4 linked regions of the Saccharomyces cerevisiae S288C genome follow. Changing the gene in region 4 together with the main gene of any one other region gives a genetic interaction. Each region holds a gene or a part of one and is shown on either strand. Other genes may lie near its edges. The genes, in order: ARL1, YPT6, GYP1 and COG8.

Region 1 (4,057 bases), on a different chromosome or scaffold from region 4:
TAAGAATCTATTCGAACAAGTGGCATGTTTACGCAGGATTAGCCATAACAAACCCAAGTGCACATCAGCAAATTCTTCAATATGCAACCAGTGCAACAGAACTATTTAGTTTAATGATAGATAACAAAGAACAAGAACTTACTGATAGACTATTAAAAGCTAAGCAATTTGTATTTGGAAAGCATACTGGTCTCTTACTATTGGATGACACGATTTTAGAGAAATATTCGCTATCAAAAAGCAGCATTGGTAACAGCAACAATTGCAAGCCAGTGCCGAATTCACATTTATCATTGTTGGCGATTGTTGATTCGTGGTTTCAACTTGGTATTGATCCATATGATCATATGATTTGTTCGACGCCATTATTCAGAATATTCCTGGGTGTGTCCGAATATCTTTTTTTAAAACCTGGCTTATTAGAACAGACAATTGATGCAGCTATCCATGATAAATCATTCATAAAAGATGATTTAGAATTTGTTATTTCGGCTAGAGAATGGAGCTCGGTTGTTTCTTTTGCCAATTTTGATATATACAAAAAGCAATTTCAGAGTGTTCAAAAGTTCTTTGAGCCAATGCTTCCAGAGGCTAATCTCATTGGCAACGAGATGATAAAAACCATTCTGAGTCATTCTAGTGACCGTTCGGCCGCTGAAAAAAGAAATACATAATGTTTTTAATGCTGATTTCCTATAATATTAGGCCTTCTTTTGTGAAAAGGAGTATATTTATATAACTGAATAAAAATATATATTGTGACAAATGCCCATGCAAAAAATCGTGAAAAAAGGAAGAAAGTTCTACTATTCTATGTAAAAATAAACCCATTAGATTTTTTTCCTCTTTGTGTAATGCTCACTACCGCGATTATCGTTCGTTTCATCTGGACATGCCAACGTTCTTGACCTTTTAGAACTTACGACCGGATGAATACTGTCATCATCACATGCAAGTAAGTTTTTGGTCATAAAGTCGATAGCATTGTAGTCATGTGTCCTTTTGTTAACGTTATTATTGTTGAGAGTAGATAACATACTAGACTTTCCTATGCTGCTGTTAGTATAAGGGTTCTTGCTGTTGTCTTGTGCGTGAAAGGTGTGGCTTTGAGCATTGTAAGAGGACATAAATTCATTGACACTGCCACCATTACTATTGCTGATATTATGATTTTTGGAATAGCTCTTTACTATAGAGTAATCACCTGGTTGTAAAGTACCTATCAGTTCCGGAAAATAAGATTTAAAGTCCTTATATATAATCCTATTCCACGCCCTGTTGAATTTTACCGTTGACGGTGAATACTGTAAGTCTTCCGTTGCTTGAATATGAAAAAGCGGTTGCCATATGTGGAAAAGTAAATCCTGTAATCCCAAGTCTTTCAATAAAAGATAGTTTAAGTGTGTCATCGAAACCGTTCTGTTAATTGGAAAGCAACAATTTGGAGACAGACATTTCATGATGATATATGGATCCTGGTCGTTTCCGCCAATATAAAGTAGTAGATATACTTCCAAAGAAGTCCTGGGCTCGTACATTACCACGTGCCAAAGATGTAAGTCTGAATCATGTGGCCTTACATGAAAAAGACCTTGGGTCTTCTCAGGATGGCGCATAAAATATTTCCAATCCTTCAGCAATTTCCTTGTTAAAGAGTAAGCCATAATTATTAGCTTTTTGATTAAAATATAAAAAAATCTGTTTAGCTCTTATATCGCCTCCTCGCACAAAATCACGACAAAGGCAACGTTAGATTGATGCTCTCAAAACATACTAAGAATGTGTTCTATGATATATATGGGAAGAGTAGGTTAAATATTTCTTATGACAATAACAAAACCCACTGCATCGTACAGGACGGGTAACAGAGCCCTTTCCAATTGAAATTTTGAATAAAACTATTTTGCCTATAAAAGTTAGATTTACGACAATTAATATTAGGCAGAATGTTCTCGGAACTTTCAAGTAGTAAAGGATTGCGTGGTTCATTTGTATTTACGAAACGGTGAGTAATAAGGTTTCTAAAACCAAAGGAAAAATAAAGAAAGATCTAAGAAGAAAGTTCCAGTAAAGTGAGTTATAGATCAAGATGGGTAACATTTTTAGTTCAATGTTTGACAAACTATGGGGTTCAAACAAAGAATTGCGTATATTGATTTTGGGTTTGGATGGTGCAGGTAAAACTACCATCTTATATCGTTTACAAATTGGCGAAGTAGTCACTACAAAGCCAACCATTGGTTTCAATGTAGAGACGCTAAGTTATAAAAACTTAAAATTGAACGTCTGGGATCTTGGTGGTCAAACAAGTATCAGGCCCTACTGGAGGTGTTATTATGCAGACACTGCTGCAGTTATTTTCGTTGTTGATTCGACTGATAAAGATCGTATGTCTACAGCCTCTAAGGAACTTCATTTGATGTTACAGGAAGAAGAATTGCAAGATGCAGCACTGCTGGTTTTTGCAAATAAACAAGACCAACCGGGTGCATTAAGTGCCAGTGAAGTCTCCAAAGAACTGAATCTTGTAGAATTGAAGGACAGAAGTTGGTCTATCGTAGCATCCAGTGCAATTAAAGGCGAAGGTATTACCGAAGGTTTAGATTGGTTGATTGATGTTATAAAAGAGGAACAGTTATAGCGATAAAGATTTGCAAAAAAAAAGTGTAGATGCATACTTTTTAAATGGCATTGAATATACATATAATTTGTTTTGTAACTGAATTATCAAGGAGCTCTATCCAAACATAATAGAGTTAGTAAGTGTATACATGTTTCTCTTTGGGTTTTAATTCTAAAGGCAATTACATCGTTCCGATGAATGAGAAGGCCGCATTAAAATACCTAATGACCTCTTAATGAAAGTTGCATATATACATTTAAATTAAATTGTCATTTCAATTCCGATTTATTGAAACAGGACGTCCGAAAGCAGAAACAGATTTATGTGCTTAATAACCCAATAAAGGACTTCAATGTATTCACGAAACAACACCCTTTTAATAACTAGAATAAATAATGTTACAATACCTACACTACTTCATACTTGATTCAAGAATAATTTTTTTTAATTCTTTCCCTAGATCAATAAGTTTCAATTCATTTTTATTTTTCCAAGAACAAACGTGTCTGTAGTCACAAAACTTACAGTATGTGTTGAAGTTTTTTTGAGTAGGCTCAATTGGATGCATATCTCTGCCACCAAACCAAACCATTGCAGAATCATGGGCATGGGTTCCCAGTTTCAAGGGATCATATGGGAAGATGATATTGTGGAAATTATCGTTATGGTAATAATATTCTATCATTAAATCATTCGAAACGAGATTACCCACAATAAAATAGATCTGTGATAACCTTGCCGCAAAGTATTTCAAAGTTAGAGGTGTCTTCCATTTCGTATAAAAATGTCCATAATCTCGCAAAGATACACATTTTGTTGACTCCGAACTATCTTCGTCTTGCTCAATCGGAACGTTAAAAGATGTGGGACCTCTATCCAGCAAATCATTGAACGCGGTCATATCAAATGTATTAGAGCCTTTGGCGTCGTTATCGAAAGCAGAATGATTTATCGGTAGTCCGTACAGGAGGTTCTTCACATCATTAGCGAAGAGTGGGTTTGTTAGTATGAATGTTAAAATCTTGGTAGGATTTATGGGCGCATCAACGTCGAGTCCTCTTCTCTGGGCATTGATTAAAAAGCTATGGTAGGTTTGTGTCATGTCTTGACTAAGGTGGGAAAAAAAAAACTTATAATACATTGTCTGTAATTTAGAGGATTCTATAACGGACTCAATAGATGGTATTTTTGGTACTGACCTAGTTTTGATATCAGAGATAACAATCTCGTTATTCGACTTCAGTTCTTTTAGATTTGATAGTAAATTAGTGAGGATATTACCCCAGCTCTGATATTCCGTATCAAGATGAGCTGCACCTTTCTGTACTTGATGATTGTGCCTATTTCTAAGAGTTAAGTGGTCAATAACACCTGATATAATCACATTTTCCTTTGTCTTGCTATCACTGTTCAGCAAATGCTCCACCAGTTTGC
Region 2 (4,255 bases), on a different chromosome or scaffold from region 4:
GATGAATTAGAGTCTTCCCAAAAAAAAGAAAGGAAGGGCAACTCGCTATCGCGAGGAAGTAACAGTAGTAGTAGCCTCCTGACTTCCAGATCTCCTTTTACGAAACTAGTAGAGGTTATATTTGCTAGGCCAAGACGGCATGACGTTGTACCCAAAAGGGTTTCATTGTATATTGACTATAAACCCCATTCATCTTCTCACTTAAAAGAAGAAGATGACTTGGTTGAGGAGATTTTAAAGAGAAGCTACAAAAACACTAGAAGGAACAAATCCATATTTGTGATCATTAATCCGTTTGGTGGTAAAGGTAAGGCGAAAAAACTGTTTATGACAAAGGCAAAGCCGTTACTATTAGCAAGTCGGTGTTCCATAGAAGTGGTTTATACAAAATACCCTGGTCATGCTATAGAGATCGCGCGGGAAATGGATATTGACAAATATGACACTATTGCTTGCGCTTCGGGAGATGGCATTCCTCATGAGGTGATCAATGGGTTATACCAAAGGCCTGATCATGTCAAAGCATTCAACAATATCGCCATTACAGAAATTCCATGCGGATCAGGTAACGCAATGAGCGTATCCTGCCACTGGACAAACAATCCTTCGTACTCAACTTTATGCTTAATTAAATCGATAGAGACTAGAATTGATTTGATGTGTTGTTCGCAGCCTTCTTATGCAAGAGAGCACCCAAAGTTATCATTTTTAAGTCAAACATATGGTCTCATTGCAGAAACTGACATAAACACTGAATTTATTAGATGGATGGGACCTGCAAGGTTTGAATTGGGTGTAGCCTTCAATATCATACAAAAAAAAAAATATCCTTGTGAGATATATGTAAAGTATGCTGCCAAATCAAAAAACGAGTTAAAAAATCATTACCTGGAACACAAAAATAAAGGGTCGTTAGAATTCCAGCATATTACTATGAACAAAGATAACGAGGATTGTGATAATTACAATTACGAAAATGAATACGAAACCGAAAACGAAGATGAAGATGAAGATGCGGATGCGGATGACGAAGACTCCCACTTGATATCTCGTGATCTGGCAGATTCTAGTGCTGATCAAATTAAAGAGGAAGATTTCAAAATAAAATATCCATTAGATGAAGGTATCCCTAGTGACTGGGAAAGATTGGATCCTAATATTTCGAACAACCTAGGTATCTTCTATACGGGTAAAATGCCATATGTGGCTGCTGACACTAAATTCTTTCCGGCAGCGCTTCCTTCAGATGGTACAATGGATATGGTTATCACCGATGCAAGAACCTCGTTGACGAGGATGGCACCAATCCTGCTGGGACTAGATAAGGGTTCCCATGTTTTACAACCGGAAGTCTTACACTCTAAAATTTTGGCATACAAGATAATACCAAAGCTAGGGAACGGCTTGTTCTCTGTCGATGGCGAGAAATTTCCTCTAGAGCCCCTTCAAGTCGAAATTATGCCACGCTTATGCAAGACGTTACTGAGAAATGGCCGTTATGTGGACACAGATTTCGATTCTATGTGACACTTTACTTAATCTTTTCCTTCGTACTGAACAATTAATCAAAAACTAGAATATGTCATTTCTATTTCTTCTATATTTTTTTTACGTTGTTGTTGTTTTTGTTGTTGTTTGATAACTTTATACACTCCATACTTCTTTATAAAAAGTTTTAATACCATTCTTTAATACAACCATGTTTAGTGAGTACTAGCTCCTACACATCAGATCGTCAAGTACATTATGATTATGATTATTATTAATATTATCAGTACAATTATTATGTGCTGGTAGTTCACTAAAAAATATGACGCACACAAAGAGTTCTCCTTATGCCCTATAGAACTGAAATATTAGGTGCTAACACTGACAAGCGCTTTGTTCCTGCTCCTCTGCTGTAGAAATATCAATGACTCCCGGTTTATTTTGGTTTGCACTATTTGCATTTTCGCTATCCAAAGGAGTTGACTCGCTGTTTTGAAATTCAGGCAGCGATTTGGCAATCTTTTTGAATAAAGCTTTGACATTATAGCCTGCCTTTGTGGACGTTTCCATAAAGATTTTAGCACCCAATAGTTTTGCTTTTTTCTCTCCCTCTTCGGTTGAGATTTGCCTTTCATCTGATAAATCACTTTTGTTACCAACAATGCACAATATAACATTTTCGTCACCTCTTTCATTTTTAACGTCTTCTATCCATTTATCAATATATTCAAATGATTTTCTCTTCGTAATGTCGTAAACGATAATAGCAACTCTCGAATCTCTGATATATGAAGGTATTAATGATCTAAATCTTTCCTGACCTGCTGTATCCCATAACTGTAATCTAATTGTCTTATCATCCAAATACATGGTCTTGGAAAGAAAATCTATACCAATCGTGGCTTGGTAATGATCATCGAACGTATCATACATAAATCTAGTGATCAGCGATGTTTTTCCAACACCCTGTTCTCCCAAAAAAACAATTTTGTACTTTGTCAATGATTTCCCGGATCTGCTCATTGTTAATCTCTTCTTTGTTTATCTTTTACTGTTCAGAATCAACAGCTTCAAACACTTCTTTTCACACAACCTTAAGTGCCCAATTGTGATATTCTTACATCATACATAGTAACAATCTATATATGGGCAATATTTTCCTCCACTAATTGAGCTGTGCTGAAGGCTTTATTACCCGGAAATTATTCGGCCATTTTTCACTAGAAGTTAATACCAGCACTAACGAATAGAAGCACCCTATTCTACTCAAGATGCCCGGTTCATGAATAGGGAGAAGTATTTTTCTTATTTTCCTTAGCCATCTATAAATATTTATCCTTATGCCTGTCACCACAATAGAAAAGGGTCCATTATATATCAGTTGTTTTCGTACCTCTAGAGAGACACGCAAGGGGCTTTATTTAGGAAACCTCCAAATTTGCTAGATGTAACCATTATACATAGTAATTACGATTGTAAAACATCGGAAAGAACGATATATCTTGCAAATAGCTTTTCTTTGGTAATATATGTATTTACTTAAAAAACGAGAACTAGAAAATACTGAGTAAATTTTTATTAGACGTTGTTAAAGGCCTTTTATTTCTTACCAGATTTTTTGATACCACCACCCACTAAAGGTTTACCACTTTTCATATTAGCCATCAAAGCTTTCTTAGCAGCAGCATCGGCCTTTTGCTTCTCTTTGAAGGCAATGTCTTCAGGATCTAAGTCCTGTTGTTGCTTCTTCTTTTGCTTTAGAGGCTTCATCTTACCACCTTGGCGACTAGACATGATTGCTTAGGGTTTTTCAGTTATTCTTCTGGTTTTGCAACTTACTGTGCGTGGAAGAGCAATCAATTACAGGATTTTAAACATGAAATTTTTTATTTTCCTCGTTCATTTTCGTCGCGGGAAACTTCCAGAAGTATAGATTTACTACAATTTTTATCTCAGGACAGAAAGAATAAACCAAAAAAGCCAAGACAAGCCAAGCCAAGCCGAGGCGACTGGAGGAGCTTTTCATCACATTCAATGACAAATCACAACAGGTTTCCCTGTTAGAAAAGGCATGTGCACTCACAATTCATATTTTCATACAGAAGATATACATTGGATTTCTGGAGATATCAGGTAAGGTTCGACAAAAACAATGGCGTTTGCCAACCCTTTATGATGGGTGATCTTGTATCCGCTTAATTGTGTGATCTAAAAAGGCAAAGTAACGTATTATTGGCTGGTTTATATAATTTGAATATGACTACTTTTTCAACGTTAAAAACGATAAATACTTGCTCAAAGGGTTCAGCGGCTAAATAAACTACGATTTCGCAGCAGGATCAGATGGATTCAATCACATCATTCGCAAAACATTCACATCATTCGTGAAGCATTAAAGGTAATAAGAAAAATAGAACAAAGATTTTTTAATCAGTGAGGACCACAAAGGGACAGCAAATACGGTGATAAGAATGGAAGGTTTGAAGAAAAAGATTTTTGGTGTTTGCCTGAAAAATGACTTAGCACAGACTAGGAATGAAACGAAAGGAATCCACTATGGGTTAATGACTTTGGAAACTTCTAAACAACTGCAGGAATTTCTCCATTTGCTAGTAATAAAGAGAGAAGTAATTCAAAATTTTGAGTTGTTATTTCACATCATAAATGTTGCCGTTAAAATCACCGATTCAAATCTTCCAAGTGATGATATCTGGCATTTCATTTTAAAATTAAGATTTTCTTCTGAGATTAATATAGACGAAGACTC
Region 3 (5,502 bases), on a different chromosome or scaffold from region 4:
CGATGGGTGTGATGCTGGACGACTATATTAGGTCATTGGCAAGCGTAAAAGCAATTTTCAATCAGAGATCCAAATTGGGGTATTTCTTGGTAGTAATAGAAAATGACATGAATAAGAAACACTCACAATTGGGCAAATTGGGTCAAAATATTCATTCAGAAAAATTCAGAGAAATGAGAAAGGAATTTCAAACATTGGAGAGAAGGTATAACCTTACAAAAAAACAATGGCAAGCGGTAGGAGATAAAATAAAAGATGAATTCCAAGGTTTCTCTACTGATAAAATTCGGGAATTCCGAAACGGCATGGAAATATCACTAGAAGCGGCCATTGAATCTCAAAAAGAATGCATCGAGCTTTGGGAGACATTCTACCAAACCAATCTTTAGATGATCTGTATACAATAACTTTATGTGTCACGTTCCTCAGGATTTATGAATTAGGAGATTTTTGTTTTATATTATTACATACTATACAGTAAGTAAAATGAATAGGTCCGTTTACAGCCAGTGCGACGTAGCATCTTTGTAAAGAGATTGCCAAATAAAGGCTTCGCTCAGAAGCATTTCAATATCCGTTTCAGTCCAGTCCTTTGTAGGAGGGTTCTGTAAGAAAGTTATAGTTTCTTGGAAATCCATTTCCATTAGCTGGTCACTCCACTTGATGAGGAATGCAGCACAAACAAACACATGAAACTCATTCAACGAAGACTGTCTCATTTTTCCACTGTCTTCAACAGCATTGTTTGGTGTCATATTAGAAAGAGCTGTGGTGGGAGATTGGAAATCTTTTGTTGGTGTAACAAAACTTGCCACTCGAGGTTCTGTTGGAGTAACAGGAGGTTTAATGTCATTGGACGACATAGAATAAGAAGAAGTGACCTCTTGTGAAGTTTCAGATAAATATGTGTCCCACATCCTTATTACTGTACCCATTTGAAATTCTCTCATCAAAAGGCAATTCATCCATCTGAATGCAAACTGTATAAACTCCACATGTTCATTTTGAAAATGGTTATATAGATCAGCATCAATTCGTTTCACTAGCTGACTCAAATTCTTCACTTGTCTTAATATGCCTGGTTGTCCGTGAATATAGTTATCGGTAATTTGTTCGAGCAATTTGGTAAGACACCAAAACGTGTCCGCTTCTAAATCTGTAATCTGTTCATCTACCATATAAGTAGAGGGGTCCTTTATCTCTACATCATCTATTTGTGAAGGCGGCAGATATTCGGTAAGAAAAGTCTCGAAAAATGGTGTAACTAAATCATTAATACCTTGCACATATCCGCTAGCAGGATGCCTGATTGCCCAAAGATATAGTATTCGTTGTAAACTGTTCTGTACGGATTTGAACTGGTAGAGGGGAATGTGGGGATTTGTTCTCGGTATATCTATCTCTATCTGATGCCAAGTTGGGATATCTCTTGAGTGCTGGTCAGAAAAGGTATGTTTCAGACTATCCCTATATTCTTTCCTCTTCCTTTGTAAGAAACCCTCCTGTCTCTTGGTGTTCACAGGCAAATAACCTATTAATAATTTCCAAACAACAGGCCTGTGTATTTTTGGGATACCATTCCAACTGATCTGGCGCAGATCCTGTTGATTTATGATTGTCTTATCTTTCAAAATATTGTCAAATTTAGAAATGCGCTGGATGATGGAGTTTAATTCTTGAACATCCCGTTCGTTTTCGATTTCCAACTGAGTTTTCTTGGAATCATTTGTTTTCTCTTTTTGCAGCTGTGGTAATTGAGGGTATGTAAAAGAGGAGGAAGAATTCCGTACTGCGGAGGTCCCCATATTCGAAATCGAATTGATGGAAGAAGAAGTGGATTTTCGCGACAAAGTTCTCGTTGGAGCTACAGGTGTACCAAATCCACCGTTAGTAAGTATAGGAATAGGCATATTATAATCGTCAATAACAGCACTCCAATCCTCATCTAAGTCTTTGAAATATCGATCACCCTTTTTGTTAGGCTCTGTACTGTTACTGCAATTGTTGCCTACACTACCACTACTGCTATGGCGGGGTTGTTGATGGTGGTGATGACGCTGGTGATGCTGACGTAAGAGTAAAGCAGGCCGGGGACTTTCGTTACTTGCAGTGCTTAGAGTGGGGTTTACATATCGTAGAGGTGAATAGGAATTCGAGGTACGTCTAGTGCTTGCTTGTTGCTTTGCCATAGCTTCAAAATTACCGTCACTGGTTCTCCGATCTCTATCTGCCGAGGAAGCATAACCCGAGGGTAAACTAGTAGATTCAGTAGTATTCATTTTGTATAACGATGGCTTCTTGGAGGAAGAAGCCGACGATATCCTCCAAGATTTCATCAGGGAAGTTACTAAACTGGAACTGTCCGAATTATGGTCCCGTTCGTGCATTTCCTTTGCAGCGGATCTCACACCCATTATATGGTTACTTTTATTAAGTGGTCGGTATTGGTGGTTGTTGTTGTTATTTGTATCCTTGATCTACTCTCCAATAATAGTTATAAAAATAGAAAGAAAACAAAACAATTAACAGCAGGACAAAAGCCAAACACTATAGCAATCTGGCTATATGATATGCAGAAAATAGTGATTACTGTGCTCTTTGCTGCATCATGCATCATATGTTTGGCATTCTGTCCTGTCAGATGAATGGGCGAAACAATTCGGGGAGCTTTGTTGCGACTTGGTACCCGGCAAGCCGCGACCTATATTTTGCATTAAACGAGTTCATCGTGGATTTATCGCCATGAGCCTTAGCTTATCAAGCCTCTCACAGACAATTAAGCAATGAAAAAGGTATACCATCGGCGCAGAATGGTTAACTAGTGGGTTCATACTGCTGTGTTATAGATTGTTACCTAAGTGATCACCAAAAAAAAGTGCAAAAAGGAAAAAAAAATAAGAGACAGGTAACTTCCACAAGCTTATTCTTCCAAAAATCAATCTTATCTTCATGCCAGCAATAGTTGCGTGCTGAGCTCAACAGTGCCCAACCCTTGTGCACCGTAGAATTGTAGAATACAAATACATAAATAAGTGTGTTCCCGAAGGACTAAGGAATGACGGCAGAGGAGTCTTGTGACCGCCCTGCTGCAAAACTTGGCAAGGACAGAAATTAAGTAATAGATACGCACAACCTTGGAGCACCAAGAAATGGCTGCAAAAGTAAATCTATAGTATTTCAAGCTGAGATATGATAATATGTTCAAAGGGCTAAAGTCTCATGAAACAGCGTCACTACAAGTCACATAAAGTTCGTACAGCAAGTCTATGCATGCTTTCCTCAAAAGAACTACCCAAATATAAACACATATACAAAAATTCAGATTTTACATTTCAGGTTTCCATAATATGTTAAAAGCTAGATCTTACATAGTGTCGGGAACAGGTCATTCTAAAAAAAGTAAAATAAAATAAAAGGGTTTCAAAGATCCATACTTCTCTACATTCTCTGACTTTTTAAAACTGTGTACTGGCGACCAATCGACAAATCTGCAACCCCAGCTTCATAAGCTTTCTCTCCCACCAGCAAAGCCTGGACCTCCCTGGTTCTAATAATGAGCGACTGAAGTTTTCCAAAAGAAACCTTCACTAAACATGTTATGCTCCTCAATCACGCGATGAAATAAAGGCCTATTTTTTGATCCAACGCCTTTGAAAATTTCCTTATGGCTGGGTGGGGTACCTACCATGAACATGTTAAAGGTAAGTGGTGGCATATTATGGAGTTACGCCCGTATACCAGAGTAATAATGTTGCCGCCGGATAGGCATGGCGCCCCCACCGGATTCTCTTGCTATATGGATGGCATAATTAGCTTATGAAAGGATTGGTAAGAATATGTCTTCTAGCAAGAAAATACTAAGAACCAATAGTTCCTTTTTTTATAAAATTATTGAGCCATACACAATAATGCCGATATTTGTCACCATAGACATACTTGACAGTAAAGTATTTGCAGCTGAGGATCGATCTGGTAGTATTCCCAAATTGTAAGATCTGTACAGATTTTCAAATGAAGCGTTGAAGTTTCCTCTTTGTATATTTGAGATCTTCATTTTATCGGATTCTTTGTCATCAGACAACTTGTTGAGTGGTACTAAAGGAGTGCTTTTCATCATCCTTTTGGTGAACGATTTCAAATACGTTAGTGTTTTCTGAGCTAGTTTTGATCAATTCAGGTGATTCGTTATCAGAACTCTCAGGTTTGTATTCGTGTCCAGTTGTGTAGCATTCGCCTAACGTGTAAGCACGGATTTCTTCCTCAGAAATTTCACTGTATGGAATCATGCCCTTCTTTCTCGCTTCTTCGTCGGTAAATGCACCATAGTAATCTTTGTCATCATGTCTAACAGTAATTTTGAATGGGAAGAAGACACATAGCCCCCAGTAAACGAAAAAAGAAATCAAAAAGGAGAAGAAAGAATCACCATAAAAGAATTTAACAATACCTGAGTCGTGGAAATAGTTATTGTTGACTTCCCAAGCGATACCAGGTAGACCGGGAGCCATACCACACACCCAGGCAACGATAGCTCTCCAGTTGACACCCTTGGTAAAATAGTATTCACCCTTTAGAATAAAGGCATTAGTAATGGAATATTGCCTCTTCCTGATCAGAAAGTTATCACAGATCATGACAGCAATAATAGGAGTCATGACAACACCGAAAGAACTCATGACAGTTAAGAAAGTAGAAGAAGAGTTGTAGAAGTTCCATGGCAAACAAGCCCAGGAGATACATGCGCAAAAAAGAGCACCTCTCTTGATATCGACGTATTTGGGCAACAAACCGGCCATATCCATACCAGTGGCAAACCCACAGTTGGAGATGGTGGAGGACATTTGAGACATGGTAAAGCAAAGACCACAGAAGAAGGCACCTGCGCGAGCGCCTGCAGAATAGTTGTTTGTCAACCAATAATCGAATATATCCATGGGCATCCAAAATTGTTTACCGTATAATTTGTCGCAGGTGGAGGCACTAATGACACCGAAGATTGGGACCAAGGTTGCTGGGATTAGTAATGCACAGACGCTACCGGTCCAGATAGCCAAATTGGAGGAACCGAATCTTGAATAGTCACTTTGGTTGGTGGAACCTGGAGAAATGGAACCGAACCAGTATGAAATCATGTAAACCCAAGCCCATGCTCTTTTAGAACCAGTAACGGTAGATTTTGTGGAGGTAAACAATTCACCGACACCATGGGCATTCTTAGTCAAGTAAATCACTATACCCAGCATGGCAAAGCAAGTAGCTACACATGACCAAATTAAAAGGTAGTTCATATGGTAGGGTTTCATGAAATAGCAGAGCGCGGTGAGGACGTGGAAAATAATGAAGCCGACCAACTGCTTGGTGGTCATGGCAACACTTGGGGACAAAGTATTGGGCAGGTGCAGATAGTGGTGGGACCAGGAATCTAATATCATGTTGATAGATAGACCACCCAACCAAGCGTTGGAACCATAATTGACAATACTCATCAAAATTCTAATGATG
Region 4 (5,391 bases):
TAAATATCATAGACCACCATGAAAACCCAATGTAAGCAAATAACCATGAGAAGAAACAAGTTCCAAGAACGGTGGCTATATTACAGTACCAATCGTTATAAAAATTTTCCAGAATGTAAGCTTTTATAACCCTGGACATCTTTGTATTTGGCGAACCCTTTCCTGAAGCATGGAACTCACCAACATTTTGCCATGGAAATAACTTGTCGTCGGAATCTAGGTGAAATTTTTCCTTAATATCCTTTTCATCAAGTTTGCCTAAGTCGTCTAAGACGCCAGGCTTAGTAATCGAAGTGTCGAATTTATTTGGCTTCCTAGATGGTGCTGATCTGAATTCCTTCGGACGTAAACCTTCCAATGGCACGGCTCCTATGCTTCCCTGTGGGTTGGGACCGGGCAATTGATTGGTTTTTTGAGCGCTGGAGGCAACAAATATGTCTTTTGATGACTGTTTCTTACCTTCCGGGTTGGAGTCAGCAGTTTTCTGACCTTTAGACACATCAGAAACTGAATTTGAGGTCTTTGTGTCATTTGCGTCATGGTTAATCAGTTGGTGGTATTGATGGTGACCCGATGGAGCGTGATCAGAACCCCTTTCTTGTTGATTTATGACCTTTTGAGGTAAATTGCCTCCTACTTTCTTCTTCTCCTCCTCATGAAATAGGGTACTATCAGGTGGGGGATGGACTTGAGCTTTGATGCCAGTCATTTTTCTTGACTTTCAATGCGTAGCTCTACTTATTTTCTTTCTAGCAATATTGCGTATGTCAATAAACAAAGCTAGCTAATGATGCTCTTTATATTGTTAAGAAGAAAACTGATTAAATTAAGTAACGCTAAAAAGCAAAGTTGTCTATCAAAGTGAAATGTATCGCAATTGGAAAAGGTAAGTGCAATTCTAAAGGATGTAAGGTACAATTATCCCTTTTTCCCTTTCTGACTGCAGCAGTGTGTTGTAAAGGTATACATACATTCTCGTATTGTTGTTTCTCCCCCTTCTCGCGCTGGCGAAGAAGTGAAAAAAAAAAATAAAAAAATGGAAATTTCGGACGATCGTCATTTTGAAAATACATAGTGAGCCAATATTATACTAGGAGTATATATATTTAGAGGCCAGTTCTGCTCTCTTGTCAATTGCCCGGGCGAGCTGCTCGGTCGTAAACAAGCTAGTGTCATTGATTTTTTTTAGGAAGAGGTGGTGGTAGTTTCGATTCAGGTCGCAAAGACGGAATGAACAGTACACCAACTGCAGGCAAACGGAGTCACTCAGCTTGATGCTATTTAACCCACGAGTGAGGTCTTTTAATACGTATGTTATGCACTTATCAACGAATTGCAACATGACTGCATTTGTAGGTATTTTGTTTTCCCTTTTTGAAGTCCGAATCTTTTTGCTTGGCTCCTCTGGGGTCACTTCAACCTTATTAATTTCTTCTTCTTCTTTTTCTGCCTTGTTATCTATGCTTTTGCTTGGCTCTTCTGGGGTCACCTCAACCTTATTAATTTCTTCTTCCTCTTTTTCTGCCTTGTTATCTTTGGTATTTACTTCTTCCTCTTTTTCTTTTTCAGCCTTGTCTTCTGTTTTGTTTACTGTTTCATTTTCTATCTCATTTTCTGTTTTCCTTTCTGCTCCATCATCTTCGCCTTCCACTTTGCCTTGTACTTCCTCTTGTACATCTTCTATCGATTTATTTTCTGTCACATCTTCTTCATTGTTCGCTACGCTATCTTGTTTTTGATATTCTTCCTTCTTTGTTTCTTTCTCCTTTTCTTCAATTTCTTTCTCTTCGTTAGTCCCATTTATCCTTAGCACAGTACTTTCTAGTTCCTCTGGGAAAGGAATCTCTAAGTCATTTGTATCATACAAGAAGCTTTTCAGAAAGACATTCAAGGACATGTAGACATGTTCCCTGAGGACTTCAATTTTCCTCTTAACCATCATTTCAATTAAAGATTCATTAGAAGACTCAACGTCCAAAGGATATGATGCTATTTCATCGGTAATGAATTTGTATCTCATGGCTAAAAACACACTTAATAATGATTTATTAGTCTTTCCATCAAATGGTGGAATTGAATTCAAGTACTGTAGTATTTTCTTTAGTGAGTTTACTGATACATTAGTAGACAGTAATTTTACCAGCCCGGATAACATGGTAGTACTAATTTCGTTTAAAACTTTTTCGCAAACTTCATCCACAATGGTTGAACCAGGGAATCTTGACCTCAGGGAAGTAGTGTGTGTGTATAGCATGACGGCCTCCTGGTAATGACCTGTTCTGATACATGTGCGGGCCAAAAATGGTAGTTCCATCAAATCCGTAATGCTATCCAAATTTTCTAGTACAGTGACTAATGTGTCAGATCTAATGTCGTCCTTGTCATCTTCTTTAGTTGAAATTCTGTTTCTTAACCTACTTAATGCCTTGTGAAACTCATCCTCCTTCTTCTTTCTTGCCAGATTGTTACTCTCAGTCGTCATGATGCGACCTGTGTCGTTGTCTTCTTTATCGTCTTCCAAAAAGTCATCAATAGAAACGCTTTCATTGTTTATATCGTCATTTGTAACGTTTCGATCGGCTGCCTTATTAATATTAGTATCCAATTCCCATAATTGCTCCAAAGACTTGGCTATATCATCCAATTGAGCCCTATCATCGTTTTCAAGAATATTTCCGATAATCTGAGACGTATTATCTAGTAGTGTTTTCCTTATCTTTCTATCAAGGGCAGATAATTCAGCATCAATTTCTGCTATGTCTTCAGTTATGCTACCAGGAACAGCCCTAGATGAAAAATAACTTTCATAGTCTTTCGTGTTAGATTGTAGGATATCCTGTAGGAAATCAAGACTTAACCGTTTTTGTTCCTCTGTTAAATCATCAGAAATGAGGCTGTTTAGTATCAGCTCCATTTTACTCAATGATTATGTTTATTGTTGAAATATGTTCCCTCAAATGTCCTAACACTTCTATGATTATTTTTTCTGTGCTTCTCTTTTCAGTATGTTACTACGCTATATTTTTAGACATTGAAGCCATGATCGCGAGATCGATCTAATGTACGTATAAAAAGAAAATGGACTTCAAGAGTACAACTAACTAAAGGAAAATCCAACTCTTCCTATAAATTTAGAATTAGCATATTCAAAAAAGAAGAAACAAAGCACTCACGATGGGGGTCGAACCCATAATCTTCTGATTAGAAGTCAGACGCGTTGCCATTACGCCACGCGAGCTAAATTTCTTGAATTGTTGGGTAAACAAATATTACTAATACAAATGTTATTAGAAACCAAAAATGCACTTTTCCGGGGTTAATATATATGATTGAGTGATGGATGAAGAATGAGATAATTGTTTAAATTCTATAGTTGTCAAGCGCTGTGATACCAGATACACAAAATGTACTAGAGGTTCTCCTCGAGAATATGAAAATCCACAATAGAGAACCGATATTTCTGTGTAGGAATATTATTATTTCTTCTTTCATTTTGTATGTTCTCGTTCATTTTCCTAGCACATTATCAACCCTTTCATTTCAATTTCCATTAAAATTGGTGACTGTTTCTCAATATTTATTTGACCGTCTTATACCCAATATGGTAATATACCAGTAATATAAATACTAGTCGTTAGATGATAGTTGCTTCTTATTCCGAAAATGAGTATGGAAGTGTTGCATATGATAGGGCGGCTACAGTGATGGTAAACATAAGATACTTTAGCGGGAAATTAGCAACTGGAAGTTAAATTATCTAGACATAAGTGTGGCGGTCACGCTGAACGCAGGAGATCGGATAGATTGATAAGCTGATCAAGAACATTGATCGGTTTGTTGTTTAAAGAATGGTTTTTGAAAACGTTTGACCAGTTGCTTCTCCCAGACGCTTACCGATATGATGATAAAGATAATATCTTCAATTGAATACCCCGTGGATCAGCACGAATAACAGAAAAAAAGGGTGAAATTCACCGTAAGCATGATACGCACTACGTTCTTCTTACCTTTGCCAACGTGTTGTCTTTGACGTACGTAATTATGGGAGATCGTTGATGATTAGCCCCAGCTCACTTTCTTCTTAATGACTGACCCGCTACTATCAAAATTAAGGTGTCAAATATCATGATGAATGAGGTCTCTAGGCGACTCAATTATACATCTTTTAGAGATTTTTTTACTACTTGCAGATAATTTCTCAAGGGATTAGATTCAAATCTGGCTTGTCAATTACGCCCTTTTCAAGCTCATCAAATTGCGTATGTCATTCATGCTTCCATTAGGAACCATAGAAGCATGGCTGAAATGGCAATATACGGCTTCCCAATTTCAACTCTAAAGTAATGGCGGTCGAATTTAATCTATATTTTACAGTTTTATACGTACTTTAAAAGCAATCAGTAAACACCTCTGGTGCTATTCAAGGGTTTTTTGCCTTTATTTGTTACTGTCAATTGTCTGGCGCTGTGATAAAAAACAAGGCATAAAGCTCCCCCGTCATGAACATTAAGACTCGCTAGACGAGAGAGTGAAATATAATGCATTTCCTGATTTAAATGCGCTACAAACATGGTGTAAATCTGGCCCGGAGTGAGTGCTTGCCAATTTGGCTTCTAAGGGAGAAAGATCAAACCACTCCCAATTGCGTCATTTTGAAAGAGTGGCCACCTCGCGAGCGTCTGTCGAACTAACTGATGAATAAATATATAAGGAGAAAATCACTTCAACTTCGCTACAAGTAGTCACTATTTGTAGCAACTGTAAACGAACACATCAAAGAATAAGATTACATTCTATATCTAAGACTAAATTTTAAATGTCCGCTAAATCGTTTGAAGTCACAGATCCAGTCAATTCAAGTCTCAAAGGGTTTGCCCTTGCTAACCCCTCCATTACGCTGGTCCCTGAAGAAAAAATTCTCTTCAGAAAGACCGATTCCGACAAGATCGCATTAATTTCTGGTGGTGGTAGTGGACATGAACCTACACACGCCGGTTTCATTGGTAAGGGTATGTTGAGTGGCGCCGTGGTTGGCGAAATTTTTGCATCCCCTTCAACAAAACAGATTTTAAATGCAATCCGTTTAGTCAATGAAAATGCGTCTGGCGTTTTATTGATTGTGAAGAACTACACAGGTGATGTTTTGCATTTTGGTCTGTCCGCTGAGAGAGCAAGAGCCTTGGGTATTAACTGCCGCGTTGCTGTCATAGGTGATGATGTTGCAGTTGGCAGAGAAAAGGGTGGTATGGTTGGTAGAAGAGCATTGGCAGGTACCGTTTTGGTTCATAAGATTGTAGGTGCCTTCGCAGAAGAATATTCTAGTAAGTATGGCTTAGACGGTACAGCTAAAGTGGCTAAAATTATCAACGACAATTTGGTGACCATTGGATC

What was found.
Region 1: mutations in COG8 (region 4) and ARL1 together harm fitness more than expected from each alone (negative genetic interaction), as found in Saccharomyces cerevisiae (6 studies listed by BioGRID, with this or other methods).
Region 2: mutations in COG8 (region 4) and YPT6 together harm fitness more than expected from each alone (negative genetic interaction), as found in Saccharomyces cerevisiae (5 studies listed by BioGRID, with this or other methods).
Region 3: mutations in COG8 (region 4) and GYP1 together harm fitness more than expected from each alone (negative genetic interaction), as found in Saccharomyces cerevisiae (6 studies listed by BioGRID, with this or other methods).

The regions. Positions count from the first base shown.
Region 1 is NC_001134.8:566,459-570,515, reverse strand, and holds ARL1 (Arf family GTPase ARL1), read left to right. Parts: upstream 1-2,089; coding exon 2,090-2,641; downstream 2,642-4,057. Other genes in the region: TYR1 (prephenate dehydrogenase (NADP(+))), read left to right, coding at 1-674; UBS1 (Ubs1p), read right to left, coding at 831-1,664; EXO5 (Exo5p), read right to left, coding at 3,036-4,057. UniProt on the Saccharomyces cerevisiae protein: Recruits golgins such as IMH1 to the Golgi. Can bind and hydrolyze GTP. May be involved in trafficking events within the endosomal system.
Region 2 is NC_001144.5:666,381-670,635, forward strand, and holds YPT6 (Rab family GTPase YPT6), read right to left. Parts: upstream 2,512-4,255; coding exon 1,864-2,511; downstream 1-1,863. Other genes in the region: sphinganine kinase LCB5, read left to right, coding at 1-1,527; VPS63 (Vps63p), read right to left, coding at 1,857-2,183; TMA7 (Tma7p), read right to left, coding at 3,088-3,282; RED1 (Red1p), read left to right, coding at 3,960-4,255. UniProt on the Saccharomyces cerevisiae protein: Protein transport. Might participate in post-Golgi transport.
Region 3 is NC_001147.6:455,407-460,908, forward strand, and holds GYP1 (GTPase-activating protein GYP1), read right to left. Parts: upstream 2,415-5,502; coding exon 501-2,414; downstream 1-500. Other genes in the region: VPS5 (sorting nexin 1), read left to right, coding at 1-389; NRT1 (nicotinamide riboside transporter), read right to left, coding at 4,074-5,502. UniProt on the Saccharomyces cerevisiae protein: GTPase-activating protein (GAP) that stimulates specifically the intrinsic GTPase activity of Ypt/Rab-type GTPases YPT1 and YPT7. Functions on the Golgi as a negative regulator of YPT1. Functions on the vacuole as a negative regulator of YPT7.
Region 4 is NC_001145.3:128,659-134,049, forward strand, and holds COG8 (Golgi transport complex subunit COG8), read right to left. Parts: upstream 2,915-5,391; coding exon 1,091-2,914; downstream 1-1,090. Other genes in the region: TCB3 (Tcb3p), read right to left, coding at 1-709; DAK1 (dihydroxyacetone kinase), read left to right, coding at 4,817-5,391. UniProt on the Saccharomyces cerevisiae protein: Acts as a component of the peripheral membrane COG complex that is involved in intra-Golgi protein trafficking.